2 linked regions of the Rattus norvegicus genome follow. The protein of the gene in region 1 interacts with the protein of each later gene in a pairwise test. Links are inferred from orthologs where the notes say so. Each region holds a gene or a part of one and is shown in the gene's direction. Other genes may lie near its edges.

What was found.
Region 2: the proteins of Efemp2 (region 1) and Stk16 interact in binary tests that used the Homo sapiens proteins (3 or more experiments, as listed by UniProt). The two-hybrid records come from large-scale screens. The link is inferred for Rattus norvegicus from reciprocal best matches to the Homo sapiens genes EFEMP2 and STK16.

Annotation. Positions count from the first base shown.
Region 1 is NC_086019.1:212,207,099-212,217,974, forward strand, and holds the start of Efemp2 (EGF-containing fibulin-like extracellular matrix protein 2 isoform 1 precursor), read left to right. Parts: upstream 1-4,623; 5' UTR 4,624-4,720; exon of another isoform or gene 4,721-4,950; coding exon of another isoform or gene 4,951-5,016; coding exon 5,017-5,127; intron 5,128-5,357; coding exon 5,358-5,406; intron 5,407-6,045; coding exon 6,046-6,252; intron 6,253-7,475; coding exon 7,476-7,598; intron 7,599-7,838; coding exon 7,839-7,955; intron 7,956-8,066; coding exon 8,067-8,186; intron 8,187-9,632; coding exon of another isoform or gene 9,633-9,649; intron 9,650-9,860; coding exon 9,861-9,980; intron 9,981-10,064; coding exon 10,065-10,191; intron 10,192-10,378; coding exon 10,379-10,574; intron 10,575-10,876. UniProt on the Homo sapiens protein: Plays a crucial role in elastic fiber formation in tissue, and in the formation of ultrastructural connections between elastic laminae and smooth muscle cells in the aorta, therefore participates in terminal differentiation and maturation of smooth muscle cell (SMC) and in the mechanical properties and wall integrity maintenance of the aorta.
Region 2 is NC_086027.1:84,149,572-84,160,372, forward strand, and holds Stk16 (serine/threonine-protein kinase 16), read left to right. Parts: upstream 1-4,713; 5' UTR 4,714-4,908; intron 4,909-5,094; 5' UTR 5,095-5,183; coding exon 5,184-5,269; intron 5,270-5,800; coding exon 5,801-6,020; intron 6,021-6,307; coding exon 6,308-6,441; intron 6,442-6,589; coding exon 6,590-6,710; intron 6,711-6,836; coding exon 6,837-6,932; intron 6,933-7,293; coding exon 7,294-7,415; intron 7,416-7,524; coding exon 7,525-7,663; 3' UTR 7,664-7,945; downstream 7,946-10,801. Other genes in the region: Glb1l (beta-galactosidase-1-like protein precursor), read right to left, coding at 2,147-2,207, 2,516-2,666, 2,893-3,059, 3,222-3,281; Tuba4a (tubulin alpha-4A chain), read right to left, coding at 9,373-10,344, 10,569-10,717. UniProt on the Homo sapiens protein: Membrane-associated protein kinase that phosphorylates on serine and threonine residues. In vitro substrates include DRG1, ENO1 and EIF4EBP1. Also autophosphorylates. May be involved in secretory vesicle trafficking or intracellular signaling.

The DNA of each region.
Region 1 (10,876 bases):
AGGTTCTGATGGTGTTTTGGACAGCACTGTGTCCTTGGTCCTGGCACATTCTGATCAGCAGTGGCCACTCAGAAAACACTTAAATGAATGGGTGACTCCCCTGATCACTCGGTCCCTCCCTTATCCTATAGCTCCTGCCCAGCCACCAACCAGTCAGGGCCGGGCTGTGAGTCCAGGAACCTCACTGTCTTTGAGGAAAGAGAACACTCTACAATTTGTCCCAGGTGTCACCAACATAATGAGAACAAAGTTAGAACTCAGATCCTGCTATTCTAAGACTGAACCTTGTTCCCATGAAGAACAAGAAGGAGCCATGAATGAATACCTGGCCAGGCTCTTCAAGTCCCACACCACCACTCAGAGCTGCTGTTGTCACTTACAGCACCAAGATCCAGACAGAGAGGACTCAGAAACACAGTGGAGGACTCAAACTTGAGCAGGAACTTCCAATTTTGTACCAGTAAGCTCAAGTCATCCTGCCCCTGCCTTCCTGACAGCCTCCTCTGACCTCTGCCACCCTGGTGACTTTACCTAACTTCCCTGGATTGGCATCATCCCTGGGAAGCTTCCCATTTGGTTGCTTCCCAATCTCTCAGCCTTCCCATCTGTGAAGGGAGTAGCAATGGAATCCCATCTCTGGCTTGGCAAGATTGCAGTGTATCCCTGCAAGTGTCTGGGATGGTTAGATCTTGATCATCAGGAGTTTTACTTCACGTCATTAACATCTTAATAGTTGGTTATGGTGGCTCACGCCTGTAATTCTAGCACCTAGGAGACTGAGAGGAGAGGCTGGCCAGAAGTTCAAGACTAGCCTGGTTTCTTAAAATGTTCCAGACTTGGCTGGAGAGATGGCTCAGTGGCTAAGAGCACTGACTGCTCTTCCAGAGGTCCTGAGTTCAAATCTCTTTTTTTCTTTCTTTTTTTTTTTGGAGCTGGGGACCGAACCCAGGGCCTTGCGCTTCCTAGGCAAGCGCTCTACCGCTGAGCTAAATCCCCAACCCCTGAGTTCAAATCTCAACAACCACATAGTGGCTCACAACCATCTGTAATGAGATCTGATGCCCTCTTCTGGTGTGTCTGAGGACAGCAACAGTGTACTCATATATAATAAATAAATAGATCTTTAAAAAAAAAAAGTTCCAGACTAGCCTGGTCTATATGAGATCCTGTTTCAAACAGCAACAACAGATTAACTGAGATGTAAGTTGCTTACTATGCAATTTACCTTTGTGGTTTTTTTGGTTTTTTTTTTTGTTTTGGTTCTTTTTTTCGGAGCTGGGGACCGAACCCAGGGCCTTGTGTTTCCTAGGTAAGCGCTCTACCACTGAGCTAAATCCCCAGCCCCGTGGTTTTTTCATTTATTATATATAAGTACACTGTAGCTGTCTTCAGACACACCAGAAGAGGGCATCGGATCTCTCTACTGATGGTTGTGAGCCACTATGTGGTTGCTGGGAATTGAACTCAGGACCTCTGGAAGAGCAGTCGGGTGCTCTTAACCGCTGAGCCTTCTCTCCAGCCCACCTTTGTGGTTTTTTTGTTTGTTTGTTTCTTGTCTTCTTGTTTTCAAGACAGGGTCTCACTGTGTAGCTCTAGCTGTCCTGGAACTCACTATGTAGACCAGGCTGGACTCAAATTCACAGAGATCCACCTGCCTCTGCCTCTTTCAGGCGGAGATAAACGATGTAAGCCCCCACTGCGCAGCTGCAACTCACCTCTTAAGAAAATAATGGATGTAAGCCAGTGTGGTGGTGCGCACCTTTAGTCCTAGCACTTAAGAAGCAGAAGCAGTTGGATCTCTGATTTGGAGAATAGTGTGGTCTATAGAGAGAGTTCCAGGACAGCCAGGGTATGTAAAGAAACCCTATCTCAAACACCAAGACCCCCCCCCAAAAAAAACCCAAGGATTATATGTATATTTGAAACAGTGTCTCTCAATGTAGCTGGAATTCTCTATGGAGACCAATCTGGTCTCAAACTCAGAGATCCACCTGCCTCAGGTTCTGGGATTAAAGCCATGTGCCACTAGGTCAGGGACACTTTTCCCCTTGTGTTTCTCTCTCTCTCTCTCTCTCTCTCTCTCTCTCTCTCTCTCTCTCTCTCTCTCTCTCTCCTCTCATCTCCCTCCCTCCCTCCCTCCACCCTCCCTCCCCCAATCAGGCTTTGAGATTGGCTTGATTGGGCAATGGGGAATGGAGAAAGAACAGACAGGCATGAAGAAAATCCAGGGATCTGGTGGGCCGTGTGTTCTGAGGGAGACATCAGCAGCCTGGAAACTCAGCTGATTTATTATAGGAGCTGGAAGAACAGAGTTAGCTAATCTCCTTAGGGGATCTCTGCAGGGAAGCAGTCTCAGGCTGCAGTCATCTGGGCTTTCAAAATACACACACTGTCAGCATCTGTGCTCATGGAAGGCCTTGGCAGTTCTCTGAGCCTGACTTGGAGAAGGCCTTGCCCTTCCCACAGGTCCGAGTGGTTGGGTCCTATATTAATGGGATCCATGTTTGCTCAGGACTTCATCTGCTCCCCATACTTTTTTTTGCCTCTGTGGGCTTTGTTCTACATCAGAATTCCAACACACATTCACACTCATGCACACTCATACATTTTCACACACTTACATACTTTCACACATATACAGACATTCACACATATTTACACACATTTACACACTCACACATACATTCACACAGTCATACACATACATTCACATACAGTCACGTACATTCACACATACACACACTCATGTACAGACACTCTAGTGTGTCAGGAGTTACTGGGATTAAACTTTGGATCTTGGTAATGCCAAGCAAGCAGGATGCTACTGAGCTACACCCCTAACCCTTTATTGTTTAAAAAAAAAAAAGTCAGTGTTGTAGAAATGACTCTAGTATTCCTCTTCCAGACGACCTGAGATTGGTTCCCACGTCAGGCAGCTAACAACTTCCTGTAACTCCAGATCCACACTCTGTGCACACCTGCACTCGGGTGTACATACCTCTACACAGATGCACACACATATGCATCTTTAAAAGTTAATAAAAAAAATTTTTTTTTCCAGAGCTGAGGACTGAACCCAGGGCTTTGCGCTTGCTAAAGCGCTCTACCACTGAGCTAAATCCCCAACCCCAATACAAATTTTCTAATCAAGATAATGGAAGTTGAGGAGATGGCTTACTGGGTAAAATGCTTGCTACACAGCATGAGGGTCTGGGTTCTGATCCCCAGCTCTACCATAAAGACCAGCTGTAGTGGTGATGCATGTCTGTAACCCCTAGAGGGTCAGGGAGGTGGGGACTGAGAGCACACTAGCCAGCCAACCAATCTATCTAAAATAGTAAGTTCCAGACTCAGTGACAAACCCTGTCTTTTTTTTTTTTTTTTTTTTTTTTTTTTTGACAAACACTGTCTTAGGGTGGAGAGCGATAGTCTCCATTAGTACATAGGCACACACGCACATACCACACACATTACCACTCAGACAATTAAATGAAATGAAGCAGAATTTTTATTTCCGTCACAGCAGAGCGGAACATGGTAGTGCACGCCTTTCATCCCAGAACCTAGGAGGCAGAGACAGGCAGATCTTTGTGAGTTCGAAGCCTCATCTACTTAGTGAGTTTCAGAACAGTCAGAGCTACAGTTTGAGACTCTGTCGCAAAAAGACAAAACAAAAACAAACAAAAAAAGATGGAAAGAGGTTGGGAAAGGGAAAGGAAGGAAGGAAGGCCGGGTTATTGCCGCTAGCGGTCTGGGCCAAGCACGGGAGCCCTGGACACGCAACCCTTTCCCGTCTAGACCCGCCCTGAGACGTGGGCAACGCGAAGTCCCGCCCATTTACCCCTTCCTGGGCGCCAGAGGCACCCAGACTCCGCCTCCAAGGCATGATCTCCGCTGGGGGCGGAGGCGGAAACTGGGTGGGGGACTTGGATGGGAAGAGGGTCGGGAAAGGGCTGGCACTGGGCCCTAGTGTCCTCCGCGACCAAGTTCAAGCTTGCCCGCCTTCTCAGGGGCTTCCATTCATTTCGGGCCAAGACTACTGCTGCCCTCGCCCCCATACTATTGTAGCGTTGCGCAGGCAGGGCTTGGGGAAGCAGTGCCCTGAGTAAAGAGACCACCTGGGGGTGGTGGAGGTGGATACAGAGGGAATTGGACAATTAATTGTATGCCTGGACGAGGATCAGGAAACCTTGGATGAAGTTTTAGGACCATCTAAGAGTGTAACACTGGATAAAATCCTGAAAGTGGTAGCATTTGGAGATCTGAGGATTAAATAAATGTTTGTTAGGTTCTGGGAAGCGCAGAATCCGGTTACACGGAGGTGCGAGTGCACAGAGGGATTCCGGAGGCACAGGTTAGATAGGGTTTAGGTGGACAGAATAATCATTTTGAGTGAGGGCCTGGGGTCCCCAGGTGAGTTTGGGTGCCAAGCATCAAGGTCAATGGTCTAAGGACCCAAACATTGGGAAACTGACTAGGCGTCCACAGGCGACTCCAGGCAGCGCCGCGGGGGACCGGGTGGGGGCCTGTGGCCGGCCGGGGCGGAGAAGCCGGGGGGTCGGGGTCCCTCCCCCTGGCGCGGGCTCAGGAATCCGCCGAAGGGCGGGCGGAGGCGCCGGGGTGGGCCGCGGCGGGCGGGCGGGGGGCGCTTCCTGGGGCCGCGCGTCCAGTGAGCTGCGCGGTCCGTCCGTCCGCCCGCAGGCACTGCTGGAGTCAACGCGTGAGTGGCCTCCAGCGGAGGGAGGGCGCGGGCCGTGTTGCGGCCGAGTATATGCTGCGCGGAGCGGAGAGGCCTGCGCTTCATGACTCGTGGGGCGGGGGCGGGGCGGTCCAAGATTGCGGCCCTGAGCCCCAGGCCTGCGAAGGGACTCGGTCCCCAGCCCTGGAAGGTTTCGGTGCTCCCAGAACAGTCCTGGGACGAGATAGCTGGGACCCAGCCTCCCCTTCCAGATGGAGGGAATGGGGGGTGTCGTGGCAGAAACCCCTGACTTCTGCCCACCCCCTCTCAGCCCCAGGATGCTCCCATTTGCCTCCTGCCTCCCCGGGTCTTTACTGCTCTGGGCGTTTCTGCTGTTGCTCTTGGGAGCAGCGTCCCCACAGGATTCCGAAGAGCCGGACAGCTACACGGTGGGGACCTTGGGGTCACCAGCTTGGGATGGGATGGGAAGGACAGCGAGTGAGGCAGGATCCTGGGGAGGCTGCTTCTGGGAATGATTCTCCCCTGCTTGGTTGGTGGAAAGCTGGAGGCCATTGTGTGGAGCTGACCTGAGCATGACTGAGCTCAAGCCCTGGTCTTGGCCTGGCTAGTTGGAGGAGACAGCCAGGGTGGTCACTGGCCACATCGGGTTCCCTTCCAGGAATGCACAGATGGCTATGAGTGGGATGCAGACAGCCAGCATTGCCGGGGTGAGTATGTCTGGGGTACTAGCCATCTTCAGGAACTGGGAAGGGGATTACTTCTGTTTCCCAGGGACACCTTATCTCCCAGAGCTGCAGCAGGAACTTGATGGCCTTCCCACTGTCCACCCTGGTAGCCAGCCATCTGGTAGGCAGCCATGCTTCTCTTGTGCCACTCAATTAGGAGCCCTACCCCTTCAAGAGGGTGAACAAACTCTGCCTCTGTCCTGCAGGAGGCAAGAGAGCACCTGGCTATTGCCCAGAAAGAAGGAAATACGTACACCTTCCCTGAACTGCACTGCACTCTCCCAGCCCAGCTCTATCCCAGTGCACCCTGGGAGGGCAGTACAAGCTCTGTGGGTCAGGAGGCCTGCAAATTACTCTTGGGCAAAGGTAGAGGCAGGGATTTGAAGAGAAACGGAAACTCACATGGAGGCAGGAGAATGGGGGTAACAGTGTGAAATAGGGGGCCACACACCCAGTCCTGCAAATGCCTGGGAGGGGTTCTGGGTCGGCAGCCTTTGCTGAGCAGAGAGAAAGCCTTGCTGTGTTGCTCAGTTTAGAGAAGGCCAAGTTGGGCTTCTGCCTCCCACTACCTCCAGGGCCAGCCCAGGTGACTGGCTGTGCCCAGCAGGCCCCTCTCTGCAGATGTCAATGAGTGCCTGACCATCCCCGAGGCTTGCAAGGGTGAAATGAAATGCATCAACCACTACGGGGGCTATTTGTGTCTGCCTCGCTCTGCTGCCGTCATCAGTGATCTCCACAGTGAAGGACCTCCACCACCAGCAGCCTCTGCTCAACACCCAAATCCTTGCCCTCCGGGCTATGAACCTGATGAACAGGAGAGCTGTGTGGGTAAGTGGGGGCCATGCTGGCACCTAGGCTTCCAGGCCTTTTATAAACTTTTTTTAAAAAAAACTAACTTTGGGGGTTGGGGATTTGGCTCAGTGTAGAGCGCTTGCCTAGCAAGCTCAAGGCCCTGGGTTCGATCCCCAGCTTCCAAAAAAAAAAAAAAAAAAAAAAAAGAATAGAAAAAAACACTAACTTTGTATTTACTGTTCAAAGTAATGTGTTTTATCATGGTGCCATCTCGGCATATATCATTCTTGTTTCTTTTAATCCTCCAGTAGAGTTATTTTAGTCCTCCTTAGTTTGTTTCTTTGTTTTTGATTTTTGAGAGAGGGTTTCTCTGTGTAGCCTTGGCCATCCTAGAACTCAGACTCAGAGATCCACCTGCCTCTGTACCCCACCATCCAGCTATGTACTTTGGGTTTTGAGATCGTTTCTGGATTTGATTCCTGGCACCACAAAAAAAACACAAAAAACAAGTGTGGTAGCGCACACCTGTAACCCACCAGTGGGGAGAGAGCAAAAAGATCCGAAAGTACAGGTTATCCTCAGCTGCGTAAGAACTTTTGAGGACCACCTGAGGCTGCCCGAGATCTTACCTCAAAACAATTAATTAACAAAATAATAAAGTAATTTTCCCTATTTAATACCCCAGACCTCATGCTCCTTCCGTCTGGCTGCTCAGAGAAATATCCAAGTTTTCATCTACTGCAGGCTCAGTGCATGGTCTGCAGGCCCAGGATGTCCCTAGCAGCCTCAGTTCCTGGACAGACATGTGAGAGCTCTGCTCCCAGCCTCTGCCAGCTTTTTGATCTGGAGTCAGGTCTGGGAGGAGGAGAGATCCTGGCCCTGCAGTCAGCTGCGGGGTATAAATGGACAGGGCTTTATTTGTCTGTTTACTTATGTATTTATTTTTAAGACAGTGTCTCACTCTGTAGCCCTAGCTACAACTAGCTTGGCACTCACAGAGGTCCTCTTGCCTCTCTTCCCCCGCAGTGGTGGAATTGAAGGTGTGTGCCACCAGTTCCCACAAGACCCTATTTTAGTATGTTCTCCTAATGGGTACTTTTCCTGGTAATTCCTTGGTGGACTCTTTTTTGGACTATTGGGATGATCTCAATTAAATGTTCATGATTTGATGCCAACTACCCATGTGCATGGGCCCCCTCCTCACACGGTCCTTAGCATATGGGGGACTCCAGGCAAAGGCTGAATGGTGTCTCCCACAGATGTGGATGAGTGTACCCAGGCTATACATGACTGTCGCCCTAGCCAGGACTGCCATAACCTTCCTGGCTCCTATCAGTGCACCTGCCCCGATGGTTACCGAAAAATTGGGCCCGAATGTGTAGGTGAGTTCGGTGGCTTTCCTAAGTTCCTGCTCTGTGACCTTGGTCTGCTTCTTGATCTAATACCTTACGTCACCCCAGCCCTCTGCTGCTGGTGCACTCCTGTCACCAGACCCACTAGACATGTGGGCGACTCAACTCAGCTCCCCGACAAAGGCAGGGGTGAACGTGGGTGCTGAGGTGAGCTGGCTCAGGCCCCACCTAGCTTGTGTTCTACTTTCCGTCTCCTGCCTCCCATCTCAGACATAGATGAGTGTCGCTACCGCTACTGCCAGCACCGATGCGTGAACCTGCCAGGCTCTTTCCGATGCCAGTGTGAGCCCGGCTTCCAGTTGGGACCTAACAACCGCTCTTGTGTGGGTGAGGCTGTGCCAGACCAGGTTCTGGGATCCTGGGTAGAGATGGGTGAGGTAGGGGCAGGATCTCCTTCCTGAGCCCAAGTCGAGTGGGTGTTTGTCCTTGCACCCTCAGATGTGAACGAGTGTGACATGGGAGCCCCGTGTGAGCAGCGCTGCTTCAACTCCTATGGGACCTTCCTGTGTCGCTGTAACCAGGGCTATGAGCTACACCGGGATGGCTTCTCCTGCAGTGGTGAGAGTCCACTTGTGCTACTGGATACTGCATTGGTACCCCCCCCCCCCCGCACTTGCAACGTATTGGACCAACTCCAGTCACACAGTCATTTGTTTGAGGCTTCGATGTCTCGCTCTCTGCACCCGCAGGCCTTCATGAACTCCATCTTGAGCTGGTTGTTTGGCACTCCCAGCTTGGGGGGTTGGTACGATAGGTGCTTCTGAAGCTTGCTGGAGAGACAGAGAGGGATGGAGGTGCCCGTCTTCCTGAAAGTTGAGTTGACTTGCATTGGAATCCTGCACTAGGAAAGTCTCTTCTTCCTGGGCACATTTCTAAGGCAGATGGGCTATTTGGAGAGTTAGGGACAGTGACTGACAGGCTTCATCAAGTCTCAGGCAGAAAAAGTAGGTGCCATGCGTTTATAACTTAAATTTTCAGTCTCGTTTTATCTGGTCAGTGATGATTTACTTTTGTAAACAGAACATTAAAGGTGTGTTGGTGGAACTGTAGAAAGTAAGCAGAACGTTGAGAGACAGTGGTGACTTTCATCTTTCCCCTTACAGAGATGAAGTGACCTGTCCAAGTTCAGATGGGAAGGATGAGGCGGGGCTTGGGCTTACCCCAGGCATCTCAGCATGTCACCCGGCACACCCTCATTGTTGTGTGCTCTGTGAGGCACAGCATCATTGGTGTTTAGCGGTGTGAAAGGAGCAAGAGCAGACAGATAGGATGCTGCATGTGGGTCACACGCTCAGCCAATCTGGGCATTCTGACTGCAAATCGCAAGACTTACAGAAAAGAATAGAGCAGGTTAGCCCCTCAGGACACCTCTAGTCTAACCTACTCATTTAACTGGCTCAACGTGGACCAACGTGGCTCAATGTGGTACCCCCAAGCCTCTAGACTGGTGTTGCTTTTTAAGACAGAGCCTATATTACCGTGGCTGTTGTAAAGCTCTCTGTATAGATCAGGCTAGCCTACAGAGATCTGCTGAGTCGTGCTAGAATCAGAGGCACAGGCCACCATGTTAGGCTAGTGCTTTGTTCCGTATTCTTAAAGTCCTGGGAGAGAGGTGCTCTATATGCTTGAAGGTCTGCTGTTGTTTTGAGACAGGGTCTCATTGTGTAGCCCTGGCTGGCCTGGAGTCTCTTATGTAGACCAGGCTGCCTCACACTGACCTGCTTGCTTCCGCCTCTGCCTCCCAGATGTTGTGATCAGACACCCCATTGTTTGCTTTTCAAGGCACGATCCATCTTGTTATGTAGTCCTGGCTGGTTTTGATCTTAATATAATCCTGGTGGGGCTCCCCATGTGGATCAGGCTGACCTTGAACTTGGTATAATCCTCCTGCCTCTACCTCGCAAATGCTGGGATTGTAGACTATAGCACCATGCCAAGCTTCAAACCTTTCTATTCTTTGTCTTTTCTTTTTCCTCTCCCTTTCCTTGCTGGGATGGAACCTAGAGCTTCAAGCGTGTTAGGCAAGTACTCTACCACCGAGCTATATCCCCAGCCCTCTAACCTTCCTCTGAAACCTTCAGTCCCCCTTTTGAGCATTATGGGTTTACTTCACTCCCTCTCTCTTCCCACATCCAGCCTTATGGGGGGGCTGGGCTCTCTCGGTAAAGGTCTGTGGGACTTGGTTGTGAGGACTACCCTCGGCCCAGGGTCCTCATCCCCACCCTCCCTCAGATATCGATGAGTGCAGCTACTCCAGTTACCTCTGCCAGTACCGCTGTGTCAATGAGCCAGGTCGCTTCTCCTGTCACTGCCCACAAGGCTACCAACTGCTGGCCACAAGGCTCTGCCAAGGTACAGGTGCTTGGGTGGGCAGGAGTTGAGAGGCTGGCAGCTTACTGTCAGTCCTAGAGTCCAATTCCACCTCCCTTGGCACAGACATTGACGAGTGCGAAACAGGTGCACACCAGTGTTCGGAGGCCCAAACCTGCGTCAACTTCCATGGGGGTTACCGCTGTGTGGACACCAACCGTTGTGTGGAGCCCTATGTCCAAGTGTCGGACAAGTGAGTCAACCTGGTGGCAGTTTGCTGTGGTAACTACAATTTCCAGAGGTCTGTGGGGCTAACTGGTTTAGTCAGGCTGGTGAGTACCCATGACATCTCATGGGAATGAGTCGGGTTTTCCTCTTTAGGAAGTAGGTATTGGGGAATGGGCCTAGCCCTCACTGCTGTTTCGTGTTGGGGTCTCTAGCCGCTGCCTCTGTCCTGCCTCCAACCCCCTTTGTCGAGAGCAACCGTCATCCATCGTGCACCGCTACATGAGCATCACCTCAGAGCGAAGTGTGCCTGCCGACGTGTTTCAGATCCAGGCAACCTCTGTCTACCCTGGCGCCTACAATGCCTTTCAGATCCGTGCTGGGAACACACAGGGGGACTTCTACATTAGGGTAAGGTGCTTCTCTATTCAGACCCAACTGACTTATCTAAAATAGAATGCCTCAAATCACTTAAGTGGGAGCTGCCCTGCCTCCTCTCTCAGAGCCCTGTCCTAGGAAGCAGGGGTCACGGCAGAAGTCAGAGATGGTCCATATTCCTAGTGAACATGCTACAGGCAGTTCTAAGGAGTAGTTGGTTAGGGGGTGAGTCCCAGTACTGCTCTCTCCTGCCTGGCTTTGATTTCCTTATCCATTAAACAAGAACAGTTCCTGCAGGGCTGGGGTCAGGGACTCCAGTGTGCTGGCAAGGGGAA
Region 2 (10,801 bases), on another chromosome or scaffold:
ATTTTTTCTTCCTATGTTTACATCAAAGAGACCCATCTAAGCACATATGAAACCACATTTATTCACTCAAAAAATATGCATGGGGTGTCTGTGACTCTGCTTCAAGCACTGTCCTAGATGTATAGAAGGGACAGCAGGCAGAAGCAATCTTTGCCCTGTGGGTTCTTTCTCGAGTGGAGGCAGACAATAAATATATGAGAAAACTACAAAGTGTGTTAGGGGCAAGAAGAACAAGGCAGGAAAGGAGGCATACGATAGTTTCGGTATGGAATGCTTAAAACCTAGATGGTGGGGCTGGAGAGATGGCTCAGTGGTTAAGAGCACTGACTGCTCTTCCAGAGGTCCTGAGTTCAATTCCCAGCAACCACATGGTGGCTCACAACCATCTGTAATGAGATCTGATGCCCTCTTCTGACCTGCTGGTGTACACGCAGGCAGAACAATGTATACATAATAAATAAATAAATCTCTTTAAAAGAAAAAAAAAAACCTTAGATGGTGGCTGGAAGTTATCACGGAAGGTGATTTCTGCAGAGGTCCTGTGGAAGCACCATATGCAATGCCTGACACTGAGGCGGGAAAGTATGCAGAACAGCAACAAGGGCAGTATGGAGGGGGCCAAGGAAGCAAGCAGCAGCGGACACCAGGGAGCCAGGCCTATGGCCTGGGAGGCTGAGTATGTGGCTCATCTTGAATGACTTGACTGGAGATGGACGTTTTAAACTGTTTTCATAGAAGCCCACAAGTTGCTAGACTAAGAATAGACTCCATGTGAGGAAAGGCCAACTAGGAAGAGCAATGAGGGTGCAGTTAAGATGTCAGCAGGGGAGGTCTGTACCAGTAGGCGGCAGTGTAAGTGACCAGAAATAGTTAAATTCAACACTGACAGACTGAATGGAGGGTGACAGGAAAGAGTGTGGAGTGAGAGGAGAGGTGTGACGGGTTACACTGCAGTATTTAGAGTGCTGGGATGGGAAAACTCTAGAAGCAAATAGTTGCTTTGAAAGGCCATACCGGCACGTCAGTATCTGTTATTATTTATCTAAATAGAGAAACAGCACAGGAGTTTGGCATGTGTGGAGAAGCCATGGTAAAGGTCCTAGGAGAGAGATACATATTTTGGGGTCAATGCAGGTCAAATCTACCACACAAATGAACCAAATTACTCAGAAAAGAAAATTAGGAAAGAGATATGTCTAAGAACAGACTTGACTGGTCAGAAAATTGACTCTTTTTCTACCCATGGCCCACATCTGGCAGTCTCGTCAAATAAAAGTGTATCCACAAGTCTTGTTACACTCTGTCTCTTCCGTCTTCCTCTTTTCCCTCCCACTACTATCCCTGCACTTGAGCACCGTCACCGTCGATCATCTACCATAAGAACCCATTCACTCCTTCACTCTTGTTCTCTTTAACCCAGTTGCACCCAGGCTGAAGTGATATTAAAGCAAATCCAGCTGTGCCATAATTCTGGGGACATTTTCCAGTGGTTTTCTTCTGTAATTGGAATAAATCACAAAGCCCCATCACAGAACTGCAAGGGCCTCTACCATTTGCATAATCATCTCAGCTTAAGTTCCCAGTCACAGTCCTGCCTCCCTGACTACTGCTCCAGGCATGCTGTTCTACTTGCCTCCATCCCGCCATGTTTCTGCCACATTTGTCACTCGATCAGTGCTTTCTCTTTCACAAAAGCCAACTAAAATGTTAACCTTCTCAGAAAGTCTCTTTTCACTACCCTCAATACTTCTCATTATTCATTATTTCAACTCCTTATTTATGTAGCTTTTGTACAGTATATGATCTTATTTATAGTTTTGAAAAACAACTGTTTTTCCCACTCTGTTTTTTCCTTTCATGTTATTCAACTTCTCTTTAGTCCAAGCTGGCTTCCAACTTCCTACATAGTGGAGGATGATCTTAAACTCCTGATCCTCCCATGTCTACCTTATAAGCACTGGGATTATAGGCGTGCATCACTTGCCTGCTCTGCAGCTCACACTACTCTGTTTTATTTTGCACAGGACTAGGTCTTTGAGTTCTCAGTTTCTAGCATCCTGCTAGATGTGAAGGAAAGAATAAATGTATGACCTCTAAATGAGGGGTGGCCTCTTGTTCAGGCATTCATTTTGTTGTCTCAACTCACCAGGATCTGAGGTTCTCAGATGAATATCACGGTTTCGAAGCAACCAAGATGGGAGACCTCCCTTAAGGAAAACATAAAGGCAACACATGAGTAGCTAGGAGGGTTTGTTTCTGATTTGATACAGGGTTTCACTCTGTAGTCCAGGCTAGCTTCAGTCTGTCCCAACCTAAATTCTGGGATTACAGGATAAGCCATCTCTTCTTGAGCTTGAGACAAGTTGAGACAAGTTTTGCTTTGAGGTACAGTGGGGGAGGCAAGAAGGGAGGGGATTAAGTATAGCACTGGAAATGGCCCCTAGAGTGTGGGCAGAAAAGAGTTGAAACCCACAGGAACATCACCTCTGGTTCTGCTCTTTTCCAACTAACTCACCATCTCCCACTCAGCACAGATGTAAGGTCCTGGTCTCAGAATGACCAACAGGTTTGCTTTAGCTGCCTCATTCAGAAAGGCAGTGAGGTCCCGGCTGCCATTAAAGTTATAGATCCCAGGTTCTGGCTCATGGTAGTTCCAGGGCACATAACTGAGAAACGAAGATGTTAATAAGACCTAGAGTTTCCCTAGGAAACTCAGAACTTGCAGAGATGCAGCTAGAAAGAGGTTCTGGGCCGCCCTTTCTCACCCTTGCCTGAGGGGTCCTGGAGCTCAAACCCTTTACAAACCCAGTCAGTTTCCTGGGGAACCCCCCCCCCCCAATTTTAAAGAAGAGTAAACCTCGCTTTCACAAAGCTCTCGCGAGCACTTCTTACAATTGCACAGCGTTGAGGCCGCTCAATTTCATCTTGAGAAGTCGATCGGCCCAAAGAACCCGCGGTACGCGAAAGTAGTGCAGGCTGCCAGAAATATAGCGGAACGGGACCCCGTCCAGGAGGAATCTGTCATGTTGCCGATCCACTACGAAGGAGCGAGCTTCTGCCTGGAAGGGCAAAAGTCTGGCTCGAGTGGTCGGGAGTAAGGGTCAGTGTCTGCCAAGTGCTTAAGAGATAAAACTGGCCTTGTCAGTAGTTAGCTATTTCTCCACTGTTTTCTGTTTTTCCCTCCCCACACCCAGACAGGCAGTCTGACCCTCTCGGTTTACCTGGGACAGCAGCAGCAGAATCACAAGCCGCAGGAGCAGGGAAGGCAGGTCGGGTGGCATCTTCGGACCTTACAAAGTTCTTCTATTCAGTGAGGGCTTTCCCACCCGTCACGTGTCGGATTCCTGGGAGGGAACCTCATCAAGCAAAGGGGCGGAGACCACCTCAAGTTTTCAGGCCAGTTAACCCGGACTCTGCCCGTAGCCTTCCACCATCCACTAGTTTGTAAAATCCTCTATATATTACTTCTCGAAGTGCTGAACCCGAATCAACTCCATTAGCATCACCTGGGAGCTAGTTAGAAACGCAGAATCTCGGGTCCTACCCCAGACCTGTAGAATTAAAGTCTGTACTTTAACAAGCTTGCTCTTCTACGCTGAACTCTCGGAGGGCGGGAACGGCGTCTTATGTCCTCATGACTAGCAAAGGATCTGGCACAAATCAGGCTAAATCTATATGAATGGTAGCAGTAGGGTCAAAACGGATTCAGAAACAGTGGAAACCAGAAAATCTTCATGGTGATCATGACTATGAAAAGGGGAAATGGGTTACAAGGAGCCTGTTCTGGTCACTCTTATTTTTAAGGCGCACCCCTTTCCAATATATACCTGTCTGTCTAGGCAGGAGATGTGACGAAAACTGCATAAGCTTAGAAGTCTAATTTTCCATTTCTTCTGCCTTCACACCAGTGGATTTCAGGGTCAGGGTAGAAAATACTATAATTTCTGTTTATTAACACACACTGAAGGCTATGTTTCAAAAACTGTACAAAAGACATCTCATTTAGTTTTGAAACAGCCCATGAAATGATTTTCATTCTCATCTTACACACGAGGAAAATGAAGGTTGGAAATATTACGTGACTGTCCAAAGTCACAACTAGTTCAGTAGAGCTGGGATTGAACTAGTCACTTTGGCCTCATAATTCACAACACTTTGCTGTAGGTACTGACTTACAGCTGGGAAACATGCGGATCTGAAAGACTAATTCCTGGAGGTGACAAAGCTAGGAGACTGTTAGGACCAGATTTAGAAACTGGCATCTAGTTCAAGGGCACACTCTGACACTGGCCAGGTAGTGGAACACAGGCCAGACCCCTAAAAGTATTAAGGGGTCAGACCTCCAGGGATCTAAGGGTCAGCACCCGCCTTTCTCTGGTCCCTCCTCAAAGCTAGATTGTAATAAGTCACTTTCTAACTCCAGCGCGCGGGAGCTATAAGGCCTCCTACCTCCGACATTGAGAGACGGAGGTCCTAGGGGACTCGGGCAGAGCCCTGCTTTGCTCCCCTTTGGTACAAGTCCCTGCGTCTTGACCCTTACTGAAGGGCAAGTGGGAACCCTCGGCGAGATATAGAAACCAACCCACCCCAGGTCTAGCCCGGCCCCGGCCTCTCACTTCCGGGTCCCCACATCCTCTTGCCGCCTCTTGTTGCTAGGATACAGCAGGCCGTTACTTCGACGCGGACTGATGATGTCACCGTAGCTTCCGGTCCCTGGCCCTTTGCACAGGCAGGAGCCAGGTCACTGAAGAGTTTGTATTGGCAGATCCTGTGCTCGGTCCTCAGCGACGGAGGGTGGACTCGGCCAGAGGTGGGCTCGAGTCCCGCACCTACTGCGCCACCCCATGCCTCACGGGTGTGAGAGCTGGACCTGGCCGAAGGTGGGCCGGGGTTGAAGGAAGCGGCCTGGTAAGACACAGCGTGGCCTGAGGCTTTGGGGTGCCAGAACTCAGCCTTCTTAGAGCTGGAGTCACCAGGGACTGTTTTCTTTAGATGTGAATCTGGGTTCTCGGAGGTGAACCTGAGCTCTACTGGTTGGTATCTCAGTGGCTGTCTGGATTGTTCTTTACCCGCGACCTGCTGTTTTCATTCCAGCATGATCCGCCGGGACCCCAACCCATCGTCTGGAAGAGCCCACTCTCCCTGGAAGAAAGACCATCCTTGAAGAGGATGACTGAGACGCTATGGGCCATGCACTGTGTGTCTGTTCCCGGGGAACTGTCATCATTGACAATAAGCGTTACCTCTTCGTCCAGAAATTGGGGGAGGGGTGAGTGTATGGAAGTCACTTAGCTAGACCCAGGTCATTTAGGGGCAGTAATAGGGACACAAGAGTATTAGCCTTAGATTCTACCTCACCTGACCGGTTAGCTGAATAGGTCAAGAATTGTATTCTAGGCCCTGGCCTCCTGAATCTACTTTGTGTGACCTTAAGTAAACTGGTTTCTTCTGCTTAAACGGAGATGATTATAATGTCTCACTGAGGGACTGGTGAGAAAACTAAGTTAGATAGTATATTCTTTAAAACATGTCACCCAGTGCCTGGCTCATGAGCACTTACTAAATTTTGATTGTTACTTGAAATTAATTGAGCATCTTATGCTCAGACCAAAGGGTCTCAGTGATTTCTGTGCCCCTGCTCTTGAAGATGGCAGACCTTAACGTCTTGAAACTATATGAGAACTACATCGTGGGAGGGTTTCTACTCCATGTGAGAGGCACCCTTCCCTAAGGGAATTTCTCGGGGTCTAAGCCATATGGGAGACGACCGTGGTCCTTCATCGACCCCTTTGGCCCACAGTGGGTTCAGCTACGTGGACCTAGTGGAGGGCTTACATGATGGACACTTCTACGCCCTGAAGCGAATCCTGTGTCATGAGCAGCAGGACCAGGAAGAGGCCCAACGAGAGGCAGACATGCATCGCCTCTTCCAGCATCCAAACATCCTTCGCCTCATGGCTTACTCTTTGAAAGAACGAGGTGCTAAGCATGAAGCCTGGCTGCTGCTACCCTTCTTCAAGGTCAGAAAAGCTTGTGGTTATAGAGGGGATTGTAGCATTGTACAACCCCACCAAGGGCTCTGTGGGCAGTCAAATATAAATACCCTAGGAACACACACCCTGGTTTTGGCCACTTTATATTTGGGGCTCAGAGAACCATAGGATCCCCTATGAACTTGACATCACACATAGCCCCAAATGATCAGTGAGAGTGTATGTGGTAAAAGGGTTGACAGACTTCAACACAAAATAGAATCCTGGGAAATGGAAGCTTCAGAATGTCTCAACACGGAAAACTTGTGTTGTAGAGAGGTACACTGTGGAATGAGATAGAAAGGCTGAAGGACCAAGGCAACTTCCTGACTGAAGACCAAATCCTTCCGTTGTTGCTGGGTATCTGCAGAGGCCTTGAGGCCATTCATGCCAAAGGTTATGCACACAGGTCAGTGGGCGGGCCCTACACTTATTGAAGCCAGGGGAAAGAGCAATGCCAAGAGAAGTGGGGTTTCTCTGCACTCTCTTCATGGTGCTCCCTGGGATACCAGCCTACCTACCCAGGATGCCTTTGGGTCATTTTCACTTCCCTCCAGGGACCTGAAGCCCACCAATATTTTGCTTGGTGATGAGGGGCAGCCGGTTTTAATGGACTTGGGTTCTATGAATCAAGCATGCATCCAAGTGGAGGGATCTCGCCAGGCCCTAGCTCTACAGGTAAGAGAGTCCCCAGGTTTCTTTGGCCATCTCCTCCCCATCCCCAGACCATTCTGATGCATGCACCAATTTGGTCACATGATATGGCTTGTGCTCCACTTTTGAGCTCTGGGGACACTGTTCCAGGACTGGGCAGCCCAGCGGTGCACCATCTCCTACCGGGCACCTGAACTTTTTTCTGTGCAAAGCCACTGTGTCATCGATGAGCGGACTGATGTCTGGGTGAGGAGCATGTGGGTGGGAACCTGGGTGGAGAGGGGTGTGGCTTTGTAACTATTTTGGATTAAAGGGAAGGAGACTTGGTTTCTGTTGCATGGAACCCCAGAGCCACAGTATGTCTCCATACCCGTCCACTTCCTTCCTGGGAACCATCACTGACACTGTTCTCAGGAAGCTGTGCAATCACTGTGGCTGAACTGCTAGAGGCACTGGCTAAGCAGGGGCACACAGACCTCCTTCCTGCTAACATGGTTCCTTGGAGCGAGGTTGGCATATTTTTAGCTTACATGGTCTCCTTTTACCATAGCAATAAGGAGAGAGATGCCATTTTTCACCTTCCAGGAACTAACCAAATTATGCTCAGTCCCTAGGCTGTGTGCTTTATGCAATGATGTTTGGGGAAGGCCCTTATGATATGGTGTTCCAGAAAGGTGACAGTGTGGCCCTTGCTGTGCAGAATGACCTCAGCATCCCACAAAGCCCCAGGTGAGGAGTAAGAGGACACTGAGCATTGTAGACTTGGCCTAGAGCCAGCCGAGTTGGAATCCTAGCAGTTCTAGGTGTCCTCCAGTCCTCTGCCTTCCCCATCCCACAGGCATTCTTCAGCATTGCGACAGCTGTTGGCCTCTATGATGACTGTGGACCCCCAGCAACGCCCTCACATCCCTGTCCTCCTCAGTCAATTGGAGGCATTGCAGCCACCAGCTCCTGGCCAGCACACCACCCAAATCTGATCAAATCAGTGAGCATATTGGGAAGATGACCTTGAATCAGCTCTCATGCCTCATTGGAACTTCTGATCTACACAAGATGGGTCTCACCATTAGGGGCAAGGATGGTGGGTCCTTGTATATTCTGCTCTTATCCCAATACCTGGGCAAGGAGCCTAGGGTGAGTTGGGGGTGGGGGGGATGAAACAGAAAATATGGCTCAAAGCTGGGCTGCTGGGCGCACATCATGTTCTGCCTCCAGATCTGGCAGCAGGAGAATACATAAAAAGTAGAATAAAGTGAAAACAGTCTGTGTGTATTTTAGGTCAATGTGTCTAGAGGGAAAGAATGAACTCTGGTTGCCATTTCCAAGGGTATCTCCTGACAGGAAGTACTGGTGTGGTGTCTTGAGGCAGAGTTACTTGAGTTCTGCCTGCTTGACAGCAGGCAGGTCTTTAGCTTGCCTTGGTCAGAACCAGAGCCTCCAGCTTGAGCTGGTTTCTGTCTGTGCCAAGAAGTGGGACCAGGGTCCCTTTGAAAGCACACTCGACTAGTTCTGTCGTTCATTCCCAGGATGGTAGCTTAGAACAGCCCAGCTTGGCAGGTTTGCCAAGTCCATGACCTCTGGGTGGAAACACACCAGGTCTTTTCCCTTCTTCAGCAGAGGACAAAGGGAGTGGAGCTGGCAGCCATTTTTTCCAGTCTCCCTGACTATTCTAGCTCACACATGGTTAATAATTGATGAGGCTGGTGGCCTGTGGCAGTATCCAGCAGCCACTTCCTGCCCTATTTGCTGAGTAAACAGGCACCTTGCCTTAGCTGGGTTTTAAACCTGTTCCTCAGGGAAGGGCACTGCTTCCCTGAATCACCAGGGAGGGGAGGCAAGAGAAAGGTTGATGCTCCTGTTCTGGAGATTTTGAAGCTTCCTCCCCCAAGCCATGTCCACCCCTACATGCTGACGTCAACACAAGTCCTAGGGTGCCTATTAGTGAAGTATAATTTATCCCTAGGGTCCAGGAAGGAGGCTTCCGCCCTGAGCAGAGGCTGAGGCCAAAAGAAAGCACAAACAGAGGGGAGAGACCTGACTTTTAATAGCGTAGCTCCAGCCCCAGAAAGCGAGATAGACAGCAAGCTATGCAAAGCTGCCAGAGGTGCCCTGGCACAAACAACTAGGAGGTTGCCCTTGTTCCTGCCCATCCCCCAAGTTTGTGAGGTGGCTGTATGCCCAGGAACTTTGGGCCCGCACAGCCCCTATTCCCAAATCCTCAGTGTTCAACGAAGCCTGGGCCAAGCCTTGCTTCTAGAGCTGTTGAAGGAAGCAGCAGCAAGAGTAAAGTAGTCCAACCATCCAACACAGACACTCAGACATCAGTTCCTATTTCAAAAAGTGAAGACTTGTATCTTGTAATAGCTTGTAGCTGGACAGACAGGTCCAGGATTTGGTCCTTGTTTCTTTCCTATCCTGAGCGTCCTTAGGACCTTACATCGAAGTCCTTAGGTTCATACTTTCTGAGGCTCAATGTGGGACCCTTTGGCAAGTCTCACCTTCAGCCATGTAAAGGTAAAATAAAAGGTCACAAGCAGCAAGTAACAGGAGGTAGCAGCCAAAGCAGAAAGAGGGGGACAAGCAGAAGCTCAAGCAGTTACAAAGGGGACAAGAAACCATGCAAGGAGACTGTTTATTTCGAAAGGATTTTGCAATAAACACAGTGAACAGGGCTCCAAGTAGCTGTCTATTCTTCTCCCTCATCCTCGTCCTCATAGGAGTCGATGCCTACTTCCTCATAATCTTTCTCCAGGGCAGCCATATCCTCTCGAGCCTCGGAGAACTCCCCCTCCTCCATTCCCTCACCCACATACCAGTGTACAAAAGCCCTCTTGGCATACATCAAGTCAAACTTGTGGTCCAGGCGGGCCCAGGCTTCAGCAATGGCGGTTGTGTTGCTCAGCATGCACACTGCACGCTGCACCTTGGCCAGGTCGCCCCCAGGCACCACGGTGGGAGGCTGGTAGTTGATACCGACCTTGAAGCCTGTGGGGCACCAGTCCACAAACTGGATGCTGCGCTTCGTCTTGATGGCAGCGATGGCAGCGTTCACATCCTTGGGCACCACATCTCCCCGGTACAGCAGGCAGCAGGCCATGTACTTGCCATGCCGAGGGTCACATTTCACCATCTGGTTGGCAGGCTCAAAACAGGCATTGGTGATCTCTGCCACTGACAGCTGCTCATGGTAGGCCTTCTCTGCAGAAATGACTGGTGCGTAGGTAGCCAAGGGGAAGTGGATGCGAGGGTAGGGTACCAGGTTGGTCTGGAACTCTGTCAGGTCCACATTGAGGGCCCCATCAAAGCGCAAGGAAGCTGTGATGGAGGAGACAATTTGGCTGATGAGGCGGTTGAGGTTGGTATAGGTTGGGCGCTCAATATCCAGGTTACGGCGACAGATGTCATAAATGGCCTCGTTGTCCACCATGAAGGCACAGTCCGAGTGTTCCAGGGTGGTATGGGTGGTCAGGATGGAGTTATAGGGCTCCACTACAGCCGTGGACACTTGTGGGGCTGGGTAGATGGAGAACTCCAGCTTGGACTTCTTGCCATAGTCAACAGAAAGCCGTTCCATCAGCAGAGAGGTGAAGCCAGAGCCAGTGCCTCCTCCAAAGCTGTGGAACACCAGAAAGCCCTGGAGTCCTGTACACTGATCAGACTGAAAGGCAAGGAAGAAAGAACAATATAGGTGGGGGGAAGGCCTGAGGCATTTTCTAGTTTTACAAGGTCTAAAGTATCTCAGATGTTAGGACAAAGACTGAACGTCCATCCCCTAACAGCATCAAATTCTAAAACACAACTAGTGATGATCCTAGAAATGGACCTCAACACTTTCCTGAGCACAGAGTCCAAAGCTCCCTCCCTGCCAGGCTGCAGTCTCACCAGCTTGCGGATCCGGTCCAGCACTGGGTCGATGATCTCCTTGCCAATGGTGTAGTGACCACGGGCATAGTTGTTGGCTGCATCTTCCTTCCCAGTGATAAGCTGTTCTGGGTGGAAGAGCTGGCGGTACGGGCCATTTCGGATCTCATCTGAAAGACCGAATAGCACATTGCTAGGGCAAAAAAAACCACACGACTATGCTCCTTCCTCCTCCCCACCCACGGAGTGGCAGT